Canis lupus familiaris: one gene and its partner. The protein of the gene in region 2 purifies or fractionates together with the protein of the main gene of each other region. This does not show direct contact. Links are inferred from orthologs where the notes say so. Each region holds a gene or a part of one and is shown on either strand. Other genes may lie near its edges.

Region 1 (6,121 bases), on a different chromosome or scaffold from region 2:
CAGAGACAAGTTCCTTCTTTAAAGATTTCCAGAGAAAATGGTTCATAAATATTTACTGACACCATCTAGTTTTTTTTTTTTTTTGACACCATCTAGTTTTAACCTCAGGATACCAGTCAGCCAAAGCAGTGATCATGACAATCAAATACAATCTTAGATCCCTAAAATTGAATCTGAGAAAAAGAAAATGAGCTGATTCCTGTCTCCATTTTCCAAAACACAGTGAGAGAAAAAAACTAAGGTTAGCAAATATCATTAGAGACAAAACTTTTAAATCTTTTAACTTTTAAATCTTTGAATATTAAAAAGATCCCCCTTTCCAAGGAGGTCTTTTATATTATTAACATACAGTCCCAAATGGAAATTGTACTTTGAGATCATTTGCTATAAAAACAATAATTAAAATTTGATAGTTTGTTGGGGGATAGGCTGAGTCTAAACTGTAGCTTAGTATGAAGAAATACCAAGGAATTCCTAAGAGTAAAAATATCCAATAGCTGAAAAGAGATGCATTTAACTTCGGAGTTTCCTTACCATCACCCTGCATGTCTGAAGTCCATAGTGTCAGATTATCACGTAACAACTGCATGATAAGTGTAGAGTCCTTATAGCTTTCTTCACTCAGCGTATCCAGTTCTGCAATTGCATCATCAAAAGCTGCTTTTGCCAACCTAAAAGTATTTAATAAATATATTATAGTAATAAAGCCTCAAAACAGAAATGATGTGTTAGAAAAAAAAAAAAGAAATGACGTGTTAGAAATCAATCTTTTTCTTCAGCTATCCCACAGTATATAATACTATCCTGGGTTTAAATACTGTAATAAAGGAAAAATAGATGTAACTGATGAAAATTAATTTTCTATTTAATTTTATAATCTAGCAAATTTGGAGGCATAAAATTGTTAGGAGCACTACTACATTATTTTTTTTAAAAACTCCCCATGTGGGGCTCAAACTCATGACCTCAACCTCGAGGTCAAGAGTCACATGCTCTACCTACTGAGCTAGCCAGGCACCCCAGAACACCACTTCTTACTAGGCTTTTGACAAGCCTATCAATAAACAGAATATAGACTAAATAAATTCTATCCTGAACCAACCAAAATATAGGCATAATAAAAGTATTACCAAGTTCTAGTCAACAGCTCACGTTTTTAAAAAATTTTATTTATTTATTCATGAGACACATACATAGAAGAGAGAAGAGAGAGAGAGAGAGAGCCAGAGACCTAGGCAGAGGGAGAAGCAGGCTTCTTGTGGGGAGCCTATGTGGGACTTGATCCCAGGACCCCGGGATCATGACTTGAGCCGAAGGCAGATATCTGGCTCAACCACTAAGCCAGCCAAGCATTAACAGCTCACTTATTTAATAAAATTTTAATGCAAAAAGATGAAATGTTAGTTCAGTTTATTTCCGAAGAATTTAATGTTAACAGAAGCCAAAAATGGGGGGAGGGGCAATATAGAACCCACAAAAATGTATGTAAGCTATTCGTTAGAATTTAAAAGAAACAACATTTACTGGATATATTGTATGATGTATACCAAGTGATGTGGAACACTGGTGGAGAAACAGAAGAGAGGGAAAAAACAATCTCAGTCCACAGTGAATATCTAGAAAATAGAGGACTGACATATAAAACCATTATAAAACAAGTATGAAGTGCTTCTCTGGAGAAAGTACTTCAGAAACCCTAGAGGACAAGAAAAAGGAAAAATCAAATATAAACTCATCTTAAAGGGTAGGGAAAAGAATGAATGCACACTTAAGATTAAAGCAAATGCATAAAAATAAAGGCATGGAGAAGACTTAACTCCAAGTGATATGTGGGACAAGCAGACTGGAGAATGACAATGAAAGACCCAACCAATACTATTAGCTGAACAGAGATAGCTATAACTTCTTCAGCTGAGACCTGTACCTGTTTAAACTCGACGAGGCATTTAGAATGTTTTTATTTTTAAGTATTTATTTTTAAAGATTTTATTAATTCATGAGAGACAGAGAGAGGCAGAGACACAGGCAGAGGGAGAAGCAGGCTTCCCATGGGAGCCGAATGTGGGACTCCACCCCAGGACCCTGGGATCACAACCTGAGCCAAAGGCAGACGCTCAACCACTGAGCCACCCAGGTGCCCTTAGAATGTTTTTAGATGAATAAATAATGGTCTGCATTCAAATGAATCCACCTCACAAAAGGACAATCTCTCCCTTTCATCGAGTATCTGATCCCTACATACTGAAGACTGTAAACTATAAACAACAAATACATTATACCAATTATATGAAGTACCTAAAATAGGCAAATTCACAAAGAGAAAAGGTAGAAATAACTGGGGTCAAGGGTGGGCGAATCTGGACAATGACCCGGTACCAGTTAGTGTTTGTTTCAGGTGATTAAAAAGTTTTGGAAATAACTTAGTGGTGACAGTTACACAATATTGCAGGTGTATTTAATGCCATTCAATTATACAACTTAAAAATGGTTAGAAGAATGAGGGGCGCCTGAGTGGCTCAGTCATGAAGAATCTGATTCTTGATTTCAACTCAGGTTATGATCTCAGTGTCATAGGACCAAGTTCTGCATCAGCTCTGAGCCCAGCAGGGAGTCTGCTGGAGATTCTCTTTGCACCCCACCCCCACTCACTCATTATCTCTAAAATAAATAAATCTTTTGGGTGGCTGGGTGGCTCAGTCCATTGACCATCTGCTGTTGGCTGAGGTCATGATTTTAGGGTCCTGGGATCGAGCCCTGCAGGGAGTCTCCCTCCCTCTCTCTGCTCATGCTCTCCCTCCCTCTCAAATAAATAAAATCCTTAAAATTAAAATAATAATAATAATAAATCTTTAAAAAATGGTTAGAGTGATAAACTGTTATATTTTGCAATAACTTTTACAAGAAAAAGCCATGTACATAGAGGTAGCCCTTAAATTTCTATCTGTATCAAATATTGGCAACAATCTAAAATACATATGAGGGAATTATTAACATAGAAAGATGGAAAACTATTCATATTAGAATAGAAAATACAAAATATGTACACTAAGAGCCTAACTATGTTAACATACCTACAAATGACTAAAAGCTCATATATAAAAAAAAGAAAATAGGGATCCCTGGGTGGCGCAGTGGTTTAGCGCCTGCCTTTGGCCCAGGGCGCGATCCTGGAGATCCGGGATTGAATCCCACGTCAGGCTCCCGGTGCATGGAGCCTGCTTCTCCCTCTGCCTGTGTCTCTGCCTCTCTCTCTCTCTCTGTGTGACTATCATAAATAAATAAAATTAAAAAAAAAAGAATAATTCTATTCTAAATCCACCCTCTGGGACACCTAGGTGGCTCAGCGGTTGAATGCCTGCCTTCGGTCCAGGGTGTGATCCTGGGGTCCTGGGATGGAGTCCCACCTCAAGCTCCCTGCATGGAGCCTGCTTCTCTCTCTGCCTGTGTCTCTCATTAACAAATAAAATCTTAAAAAAAAAAATAATAATAATAATTCCACCCTCCCACTAACAAGTTAAAATTTCAACCTACCAACCAAAATTGTCCCCATCAACATAATCTAAAACTGCTATCCTAGTGAACAGAGATAGAGTCGGTCTTAAAATAATCCAAAGAAGTTTCATTAAAAGCCAAAAGAATTCTTACATGTCCAAGGCCACAAAGGCAATCCCAGGAAATAAGACAAATAATTCTCTCTTGTAATGTTTTTCACTTTCCCAGTGAGAACTTTTGTTTCTCTTCCATGACTTACCTGCAGGCACGGTCGGGGGAATTAAGAATTTCATAGTAGAATACAGAAAAGTTGAGAGCAAGACCTAAGCGAATTGGATGCGTTGGTGGAAGTTCTGTCATTGCAATATCACTAGCAGCTTTATAAGCCACTAGGCTGTTCTCTGCAGCCTCCTTCCTGTCATTTCCTGTGGCAAATTCAGCCAGATACCTGTGGTAGTCCCCTTTCCTAAAACAAAACAAAATAAAACAAATAGAATTAGGAAGAATGCTTTTTAAATGAAAGTAAACTGTTAAAATTTTTCTATAATCTATAAAATGAAATGTAACAAAAATTATTTTAATAATCAGCATGTATACTTCAATAACTTCACTCTATCAGGAAAGACTATTCAGTTTTCCTTCTCAGAGTTCAGAATACTAAATATAAGCAAAATCTTAGAGAAATTAATTGAAAAGCCTCTAAAAAAAAAAAATCAATAAATTTATTGCCAACTAGAATTAAACATAAAAAAGTGGTTCCAAAAAATGGCATGACAGTTAATTGTGAAATAAAACTTCTACATAAAACATTAAAACTGAACTATGTAATGTATTGCAACAGTTGATGGGTTAACTCCACACAAAAACAAATGAAAAGAGGTAAAACCTAGTACTCTTATAGTAAATAGTCTGAGCATCTTAAATGCAACAATAACTGTTCATTAGCAGTGAATATGCAAATGAGCACTCTAAGTTTTGAAAATCATTCCTCCCATATAACTATCCTTTAAACATTAAACAATTATTCTTAAATAAAAGTTGAACACCTACACAAAAAAGTGATAATTCAAAAAAAAAGTGATAATTCTAAGGGGGCTAACATTTAATCTGACATTTTCCCTTCTAGTATAGAACCTACATTTTATAATAGAAAACCTTGGACTCGCCAGTGTTAGCTGCTGGAATGAGGTGTTTGTCCAGTACATCCAGAATGTCACAACAGATTAACTTTAGCTCAGTCTCAACCTGAAAAAAAAAGTAAAAAATTGTTTGTTTACTTAATTGTAACATGAATTACGACATATTTGCCCACTGGTTTTGAGGAAGAGAGCCAGAGTAAACAGAATACACATCTCTATCTAAATCTTTTTTAAAAATTTTTATAAATAAATAAATAAATAAATAAATAAATAAATAAATTTAAAAAATGCTGAATCTCCCCTGCTCTTGATTTTAAAAAAAGCAGAGAAAAGCTGTCTCCAGGTTAGACATTATCTTCCTTCTACATGCTAAAAAACAAAAACCAAAACCAACCCCCTACACACACACACACACACACACACACACGGGCAACCTGGTTGGCTCAGCTGGTGGAGCATGTGACTCTCAATCTCATAGTTATTCAAACCTCACGTGAGGTATAAAGATTACTTAAAAATAAAATCGTTTTCTTTTTAAAGAAGATTTTATTTATTTATTCATGAGAGACAGAGAGACAGAGAGAGAGAGAGAGAAGCAGAGACACAGGCAGAGGGAGAAGCAGGCTCCATGCAGGGAGCCTGACGTGGGACTGGATCCCGGGTCTCCGGGATCACACCCCGGGCTGAAGGCAGCGCTAAACCACTGAGCCACCCGGGCTGCCCTTGAAAATAAAATCTAAACAAACACACCAACCCAACAACCTCATGGTTTAGCTACAGAACTGAGTATAATACTGATTGCTATTTACAAGTGCTGCATACTTAATTAGCATATTTAACAAGGTAGAAACTATGTCTCTATTTACATGGGGAAACGATTATATAGTATTTAGCCAAAAGGAGGAGAGCTAGGATCTGAACCAATGTAGGCTATAAAGCCTAAGGTCACAGCTTCTAAGGGATGGAATAAAAATTAAAAAGCTAGGGCAGCCCAGGTGGCTCAGCGGTTTAGTGCCGCCTTCAGCCCAGGGTGTGATCCTGGAGACCCGGGATAGAGTCCCGTGTCGGGCTCCCTGCGAGAAGCCTGCTTCTCCCTCTGCCTAGGTCTCTGCCTCTCTCTGTGTCTCTCTCACAAATCAAATAAAATCTTAAAAAACAAAACAAAACAAAACAAAAACAGGGCAGCCCCCATGGCACAGTGGTTTAGCACCGCCTGCAGCCTGGGGTGTGATCCTGGAGACCCGGGATCGAGTCCCACATCGGGATCCCTGCATGGAGCCTGCTTCTCCCTCTGCCTGGGTCTCTGCCTCTCTTACTCTGTGTCTCTCATGAATAAATAAATAAAATCTTTAAAAAAAAATTCAAAAAAAAAAATTCAAACCTAGACACAGCCTGCCTCCAGTGCTCACATTCCTAACCACTACTATGCTCAACAGCCAATCATTTGAGTGGCTCAGATCCACAGTCCACCATGACACCAAAAATGCTTA
Region 2 (6,704 bases):
AAAGTGATGTATTTTTTCCCCCTTTCTTAATGACACTGGCACATCTCTATTCTAATCCCAGCTCTGCCACTTACCAATCACGTGATTCTAAGCAAGTCACTTCTCTCAGCCGACACTTAGCTGCTGCCTCTTTTAACTGGGAAAAACATCTTTTGTCCTGCCTACTTCACAGGGGTTGCTATGAGAATGAAAAGTGTGAAAGGACTCTGTAACATGTAGAATACCATATAAGCAAAGGGACTAGTATAATTTAAGAAAGGTTAATGACCCAGGTACCTTTAAGAACATCAAGAATTCTACAGTTCTATGCCAGTGAGACCCTCAGGGTCTATTAACAGGCTCTTCGTCCTCATACTAAGCCGCAGACTAATTTTTAAAAAACCTCTGTCTGCTTTTCAGTTTTCCCCTCTCCTCCCTTGCTAGCAGCTATTAGTGTACCTTAAACCCGAATGCACCTCTGCTGATTTGCTGCTTCTCACATACTACCGAGTTGGAAGCTTATTATAATTATGCATAAATTTTAGATGATTCAGAGGTCAGAGAGGCTCCCTATAAATAATCTGATGAACCTTTATGCTCAGACTATGGAAATCAAGCACAGCCATTCAGAGGTCTGTTTGCTTACATCTCAGATGTCTTCCAGCGCACTGCAGCTACTGGATAAGTGGGCTCCACATGTGAAGTGCTACTATATAAAAAACCTCATCATCATTTCTCCCAATGCAACCAACTAATAAAGTGATCCCAACAGCTCTGGCTATATAAAACAGTCACTATTAGCAACTCTGCTGAGAACATAAATACGAGCATTTTAAAGGAGATCTTACTTTGGATAAATAGCACTGTCCAACAGATATGTGCCAGAGACAAATACTCTGCTACTGTCTTAATGATTTTTGCTTTCTAGAACAAATAAAGATCATTTTTCTCAGCTATATTTAGAGGTTAATCCTGACTTACCTCATAACCATGATGCAAGTAGTGACAAAAAACAACAATCTTTAGAAATACAAAGTCCCACAGCCAAGAAAAAACTTTAACCAGATCTCTTTTTTGCACCAAAAACTGAAAATGGCCACAGAATGAGCAAGACAGGTAAAATATTTTTTTCTTTTGTGAACAGAGGGGCATAGCACATCATCTTAAGAATGAACTACATTTGAAAGTGTTTTCCCCAATCCATACCACTAAAATACTTACTTCTATACTTACCAGGTTATGACGGCTCATAACTGTTGTACTATTCCTCCGAGTTCTAAATGTATAAGGTTGAAAGACCTGTGAAAGATCACTAAAAAATAAAAATAAAATTATTAGTGTCTTCTCATTTGAGATATCCATCAACTCTCTGATCAACAATGAAATCTTCCATGGTTCCTCATTTTGTACAATGAATAAGCTCCTCACTGACCTCTTCAGAGCTTCTGCTGTGGATCACAGGTTTGCCCAGATACTGATCTCCTCAGTGGTTGGGGGGCAAGCTAGGAGAGGTATGGGGCGGGGCTCCAAACTGGTTGCCTCCAGCTGCTTCTGGTCAGAGCTCACGCCCCCAAACCAGTTCCCACCAGACACCAGCAGCCTCATCTGTTTACACCAAAGGACCTAAACATACTACTGCTTTCTATGTGTGCCATGACCATGAGAAGAGCTGGGGAGCCTTGTGCTACAGTACAGGGCCCATCAGCACATCTCCCACTATAGCCCTAAATAAGTGTTCTACCTGTGAGTCTGCTGTACAACTAAATAAACATACCTGGAGTTTTTCTCAAGTTGCCTCTTCTGCTTTCACAATGTCCTACCTCCCACCACCATCAATCAAAATCCTTCCTCTCCTTGAGCACCCATTTCAATCCAATACCCTCTGTGAATGAAGCCTCTCTTCAGTCCACAAACCGAATGCAATCCTGCCCTCCTTTGAGTCCAAAGAGCACAATGCGAAATAAGATGCTTCTTGAGACATCGACTTTACCTCTTATTACAGAGAAGTGTGCGTGTGTTTTAAATTCCATGGTAGAGGTCTTTTGTTCCTTCTTGTATAACATCCCCGCAGTGCCTAGCAGAGTGCCGTGCCCATGATAAGAAGCCAAGAAAAATTTTCAGGACTGAATTGAATTGGGCTTCACTGGACCCATGAGATCACCTAATTCAGGTCTTAAGTTTCAAATGAAAAAACAGACACTTAGAATGGCTAAGTGACTCATTCATGATCACAGTTAGGGAGAGATATTGGGACTAGGTCTTGTCTCCTCACTCCTTCTGTCACATCATGCTACCCTGGCAAGTAATTACTTAAATCTCGATTCAAAAAACAGTGTTATTTCTATGACAGTCTAAATGCAGGTCAGCATGATCGCCCTAGTCCCTTGCAATTGCTTGCTTACCAGATTTAAAAAGACAACCCCAAAAGACCAATTTATTCCTATAGTATCAAAAATAAATGTAGAGCTGAGGACAGCCATTAAGAAAGCAAAGAGTCACCCCATCATTCCCTCAGTTTAAAAATTTAATACAAGAAAATGAGTAAATCCATTTTCCCCTCAAATACAGATATTATAATCAGTTTGATAGATAAAAATTACCTATTTCTCTGCCTTCACTGTGCTTGATTAATGATTTTGGCTAATTCTACTCCCATCCCCTTTTTTGGGCTAATTCCATTTCTACAAGGTCTCACAAATTAGCTCTCCACTAAGATGAATTGTCTACTTACAGGAGTGAAATGTAATAGGCTCAGGAGGTCTGCCAACCTAACCTTCACTATTGTAAGATTCTACCTTAAAATAGACCCTCTAGTGAGTATTCACGTGAAAATACAAGACCCTACCACTAAAATTCAAGGGTTGATTCTTTCCATTGTTTTCTAAAACCTGTATTTTCACTGACCTAAGCTAAGAGACACCTTTTGTTTTTTATTCACTGGTATGCATTCCAGGCAGTTTTAGGATCTGAAAACATTACGACAAATCCCAATCACTTAATGTGCCATGAACATGACACTTGTTACAAGTTATTAGATAAATTGTGATTTATTAAAGTAAATGCTCCGTTAATGCCAGGGTTCCTAAACTAAGCTTAGAAATAGCAGCTCTTAGAGACAGGTGTCAAGTTGCAAGTCTAGTTCCAGGGGCTTCAGGCTAACATTCAGTGGTGCAAATTAGGCAGGGCAAGCAACCTGTTACAAGATCCAGAAGCTTCTTGTAGATCCTTTCAGAGTGGGCCAAGAGAGCCCCAGGTAAAGAGGGTCCCATTTTTTCCACACTTCCCAGAGTCTGGGGTCAAACTTTCACTCCACCTTGGGACCCAAGTCACTGTCGAGCAAACAAGTCCCCATGCCCTTAATTTGGAAAACCCAGATGAGCACCAACTCTCACTTTAGGGAAGGAAGATTGCTTGCAGGGGGTCAAGGAGCCCCTGAACCCTGTACTTCATCGTTCCCAACCCGCCTCACCTGAGCCCATGGATCAGGGGAGCGCTGCTGGATCTCCTCAGGGTGCCCCCATCGGATGTGTCAGGCTCGAAGTCCAGCTCCATTTTCTCCTGAGCCATGTCGGAGACTTGCAGGCAGGCACAGCGGACAGTGCTCAGCTCCTGGTGCTTAGCTATGGACTCCCAAGACTCTCACTGCAGGACTGAGCTGCTGGGGACTGGCAGCTGGGGGCGGGGGCTAAGGGGCGGAGGCTTAGGGGCGGGGGCTAAGGGGCGGAGAAAAGCAGGAAAGGAGGAGGAGGGAAGGAGGATGAGGATGAGGAAGGGAGCTTGAGAGTGAGTGAGGGGAGGAGGAAGGGGGGCGGTAGTGGAGTGGGAGGTGGTGGAGGGTGACAGAATAAAGGAAGAGGGTGAAGGAAAAGAGAGGGATGGAAGGAAAAGAGCAAGAGATAGGGAAAGCGGATATATAGAAAAGCAGGAAAGCAGAGAGAGTAAAAGGAGGACAGGATCGGGAAAGGAAGATGAGGAAAGGAGGAGGACCGAGGGGGAAGAGGAGAGCAGGGTGGTGGGAAAAGAGGAATACGAGAGAGGGAAAGAAAAAGAGGTATGGGGAAGAGGAGGGAGGGAGGAGGCGGACGGAGGGAGAAGAGGATGGGGAGGAAACTAGGCAGCGGCGGAACTCATGTTGCTATCTTTTGGCCGACGACCTCAACCGGGGCCGGGCTACAAACACCGCAGCTGCCCAGGCAGCGCTAGTACCAAAAAGCTGACAGTTGGGCAGGGCCCGGCCGGGCGGCCTCGACGGCTCCAGTTCCCCATGCTGGGGGACCCGGTCCAGCCCCCCATGCTCTGGGACTCGGTCCCGGAGGATCCTCAGCCCTGTGAGGGGTGCTTATCCCCTCCCTACCCCCCCTCCCCGCCTGGAGGACAGGTGGGGGGTTCGGCCCTTCAGCCGCCGCCGCGGTGCCTCCTCTTCCTCTCTTGGGTTCTAATGGCCCGAGGGAACCCCTTGGGGCCAAGACCAAAATCTACAACCTGCCGCCTTTTCCGCCTCCCACGCTTCAGCAGCGGGAACCGCCGCGGGGCCAAGTCTTCCGCGTCCGGGCACCCATCGGGTCCTGCGCACGCGCCCGGCGGCCGCGCCAATGAGCCCGCGGGCACCGAGCATGCGTGGGAACCCCGCCCCGCAAACCTCCTCCAAAAGGGAGGAGCGTTTTCAGGGGGCCCGGCGCCTTCCTCTCTGGCATTGGCCCGGGGACCCTGGCGCCCGATTTTGAAAAGAACCAATAGTTTGGAGACAGTGGAGCATCGCCGTTCAGGAGGAGTTTGGGCCAATATTCAAGGGAAACAGAAACTTGTGGTTTCCATGTTTTTTCAATGCCAATTTATTTGCTCTGATCTCTGTGATCTCTGCCCATTTCTTAAATCCCTTGATTTTGTTTGGTGTTTGGAGGGGCTGATTTTTTTTTTCAGATAATCCGTTTGGATGCACTAAACAAAAGGGAAGTGAAAAAACAAAAGTAATGGTGTAAAAATAAAGAGAATCGAATAAGAGTTCATATAGCGAGTGGCAATCACCATCTTCATTTTACAAGCATTGTCAGCTTCAACGATATTAGGAAAAGTCCTGAAGAACAAGTAGCAGAACCAGAATTTTTTTTCCTTCCTAGGATTTACAGAGACCCTAACAATAGTCATTCAGCATGTGTGAGGCCTGGAATTACTTATTTTATTTAACAAATATCTACGTAGCAATTGCTGTGTGCTAGGCACCATTCTAAGAGCTTTAGAAATATTAACTCATTCAATCCTCGCTACTTGAATAACCATGGGATAAAGATGGTATTGTATTGTGTTAATCATACAGAGGGAGAAATACAGAAAATTTAATAGTCATGAAATTGGTTTCAAAATATAGCAAAAATAGAGCCACCTGGGTGGTTCAGTCCATTGGGCATCTGCCTTTGGCTCAGGTCATGATCCCTGGGTCCTGGGATTGAGCCCTGCGTGAAACTCCCTGCTCAGGGGGGTCTGCTGGTCCCTCTCCCTATGCCCTGCCCCTCTTCTCATGCTTGCACTTTCTCTCACATAAATAAATAATTTTTTTTAATTTAGCAAAAATAGGGATGCCTGGGTGGCTCAGTGGTTGAGCATCTGCCTTCAGCTCAGGGCATGATCCCGGAGTTCCGGGATTGAGTCCCCCACATTGGGTTCCCTGCATGGATCCTGCTTCTCCTCACTCTGCCTATGTTTCTGCCTCTGTGTGTGTGTGTCTCTCATAAATAAATTAAATGTTTTTTTTAATTTAGCAAAAATAATTTTACCTGCCTATTCAACTTAGTTGTCCCATATTAAACTTGCCAAATCCAATCATTTTATTCCTCAATGTTAATATTCACTGCTTGTAATATAGAGTTTTTAAAGCACTTTTAGATAGTTTCCTTTAAATTGCCTATATTTTTCTTCCAACTGGATTGGAAAAGCAAGCTCTGTTTTTGACCAATTTATGTAGCTCTTTTCATCTCAAGGTCTCAGCAACCCCCTCATCTGCTCAAAACAACATAGTACATTCTATTGTTCACAATAGCTACTAAACAATCATTTGTTGGCTACGTGTAGAATTCCTAACTCTGAGGAGTCAAATGATTTAGTAGAATCCCTAACTTTCAGGACCTTAACAATTAGGAGAAACTCAAAGACATGTTAGAAGATGGATGCAACCTTGACCATCATTTCCAGATTCTATTCATATCGTTCTTGCCTACCTAGTTTCTCTTACCCTTCATATAAATCTTTTGGGAGGTTTAGGGTATTTGTGGTTTGTGGGCTTGGGTTCAGCTTGCCTTTGATTTGCTTTTGTGATAAGGAAAATTTGCTTTAAAGTTGCCATGACGACTAGTAAACAACTGATTATGACATATTTGTGGGACACCTTTTATAAGTAAGAGGCCTGGCACAGATGGTAGCAGACTGGGACAAAGACAAGAGTAGCATAAGTGGCAAGGTAAAAGCAAACCAGCAATCTGAGATCATGGCATATTGCTACAGAACAGCAGAAGCTGATGATGACACACAGCTAGGTTGGTATAATAGTGCGTGAGTAGAAATGGGAAGAAGTAAAAATAATTTCTTTAAATGTTGTGTTTGCCCCTGTGGTATACAGAATTGTTTTTGTAGTACTTGTTCCTTTTGACATTCTAACTTGCATATGTACTCTGAGTTCCTGGCATTCAGCTACACTTAATTAAAGAATTCCTCTTTTTTGGCAATACCTGCAA

Evidence for each region. Proteins that work in one complex are often made in the same cells at the same time.
Region 1: the proteins of PABIR2 (region 2) and YWHAE purify together in Homo sapiens (affinity purification with mass spectrometry; 3 studies listed by BioGRID and IntAct, with this or other methods). This does not show direct contact. The link is inferred for Canis lupus familiaris from reciprocal best matches to the Homo sapiens genes PABIR2 and YWHAE.

What each region holds. Positions count from the first base shown.
Region 1 is NC_049230.1:45,481,256-45,487,376, forward strand, and holds part of YWHAE (14-3-3 protein epsilon), read right to left. Parts: intron 4,738-6,121; coding exon 4,631-4,737; intron 3,959-4,630; coding exon 3,752-3,958; intron 672-3,751; coding exon 535-671; intron 1-534. UniProt on the Homo sapiens protein: Adapter protein implicated in the regulation of a large spectrum of both general and specialized signaling pathways. Binds to a large number of partners, usually by recognition of a phosphoserine or phosphothreonine motif.
Region 2 is NC_049260.1:106,342,992-106,349,695, forward strand, and holds the start of PABIR2 (protein FAM122B), read right to left. Parts: upstream 4,560-6,704; 5' UTR 3,547-4,559; coding exon 3,449-3,546; intron 1,292-3,448; coding exon 1,213-1,291; intron 1-1,212. Other genes in the region: protein FAM122A-like, read left to right, coding at 6,386-6,506.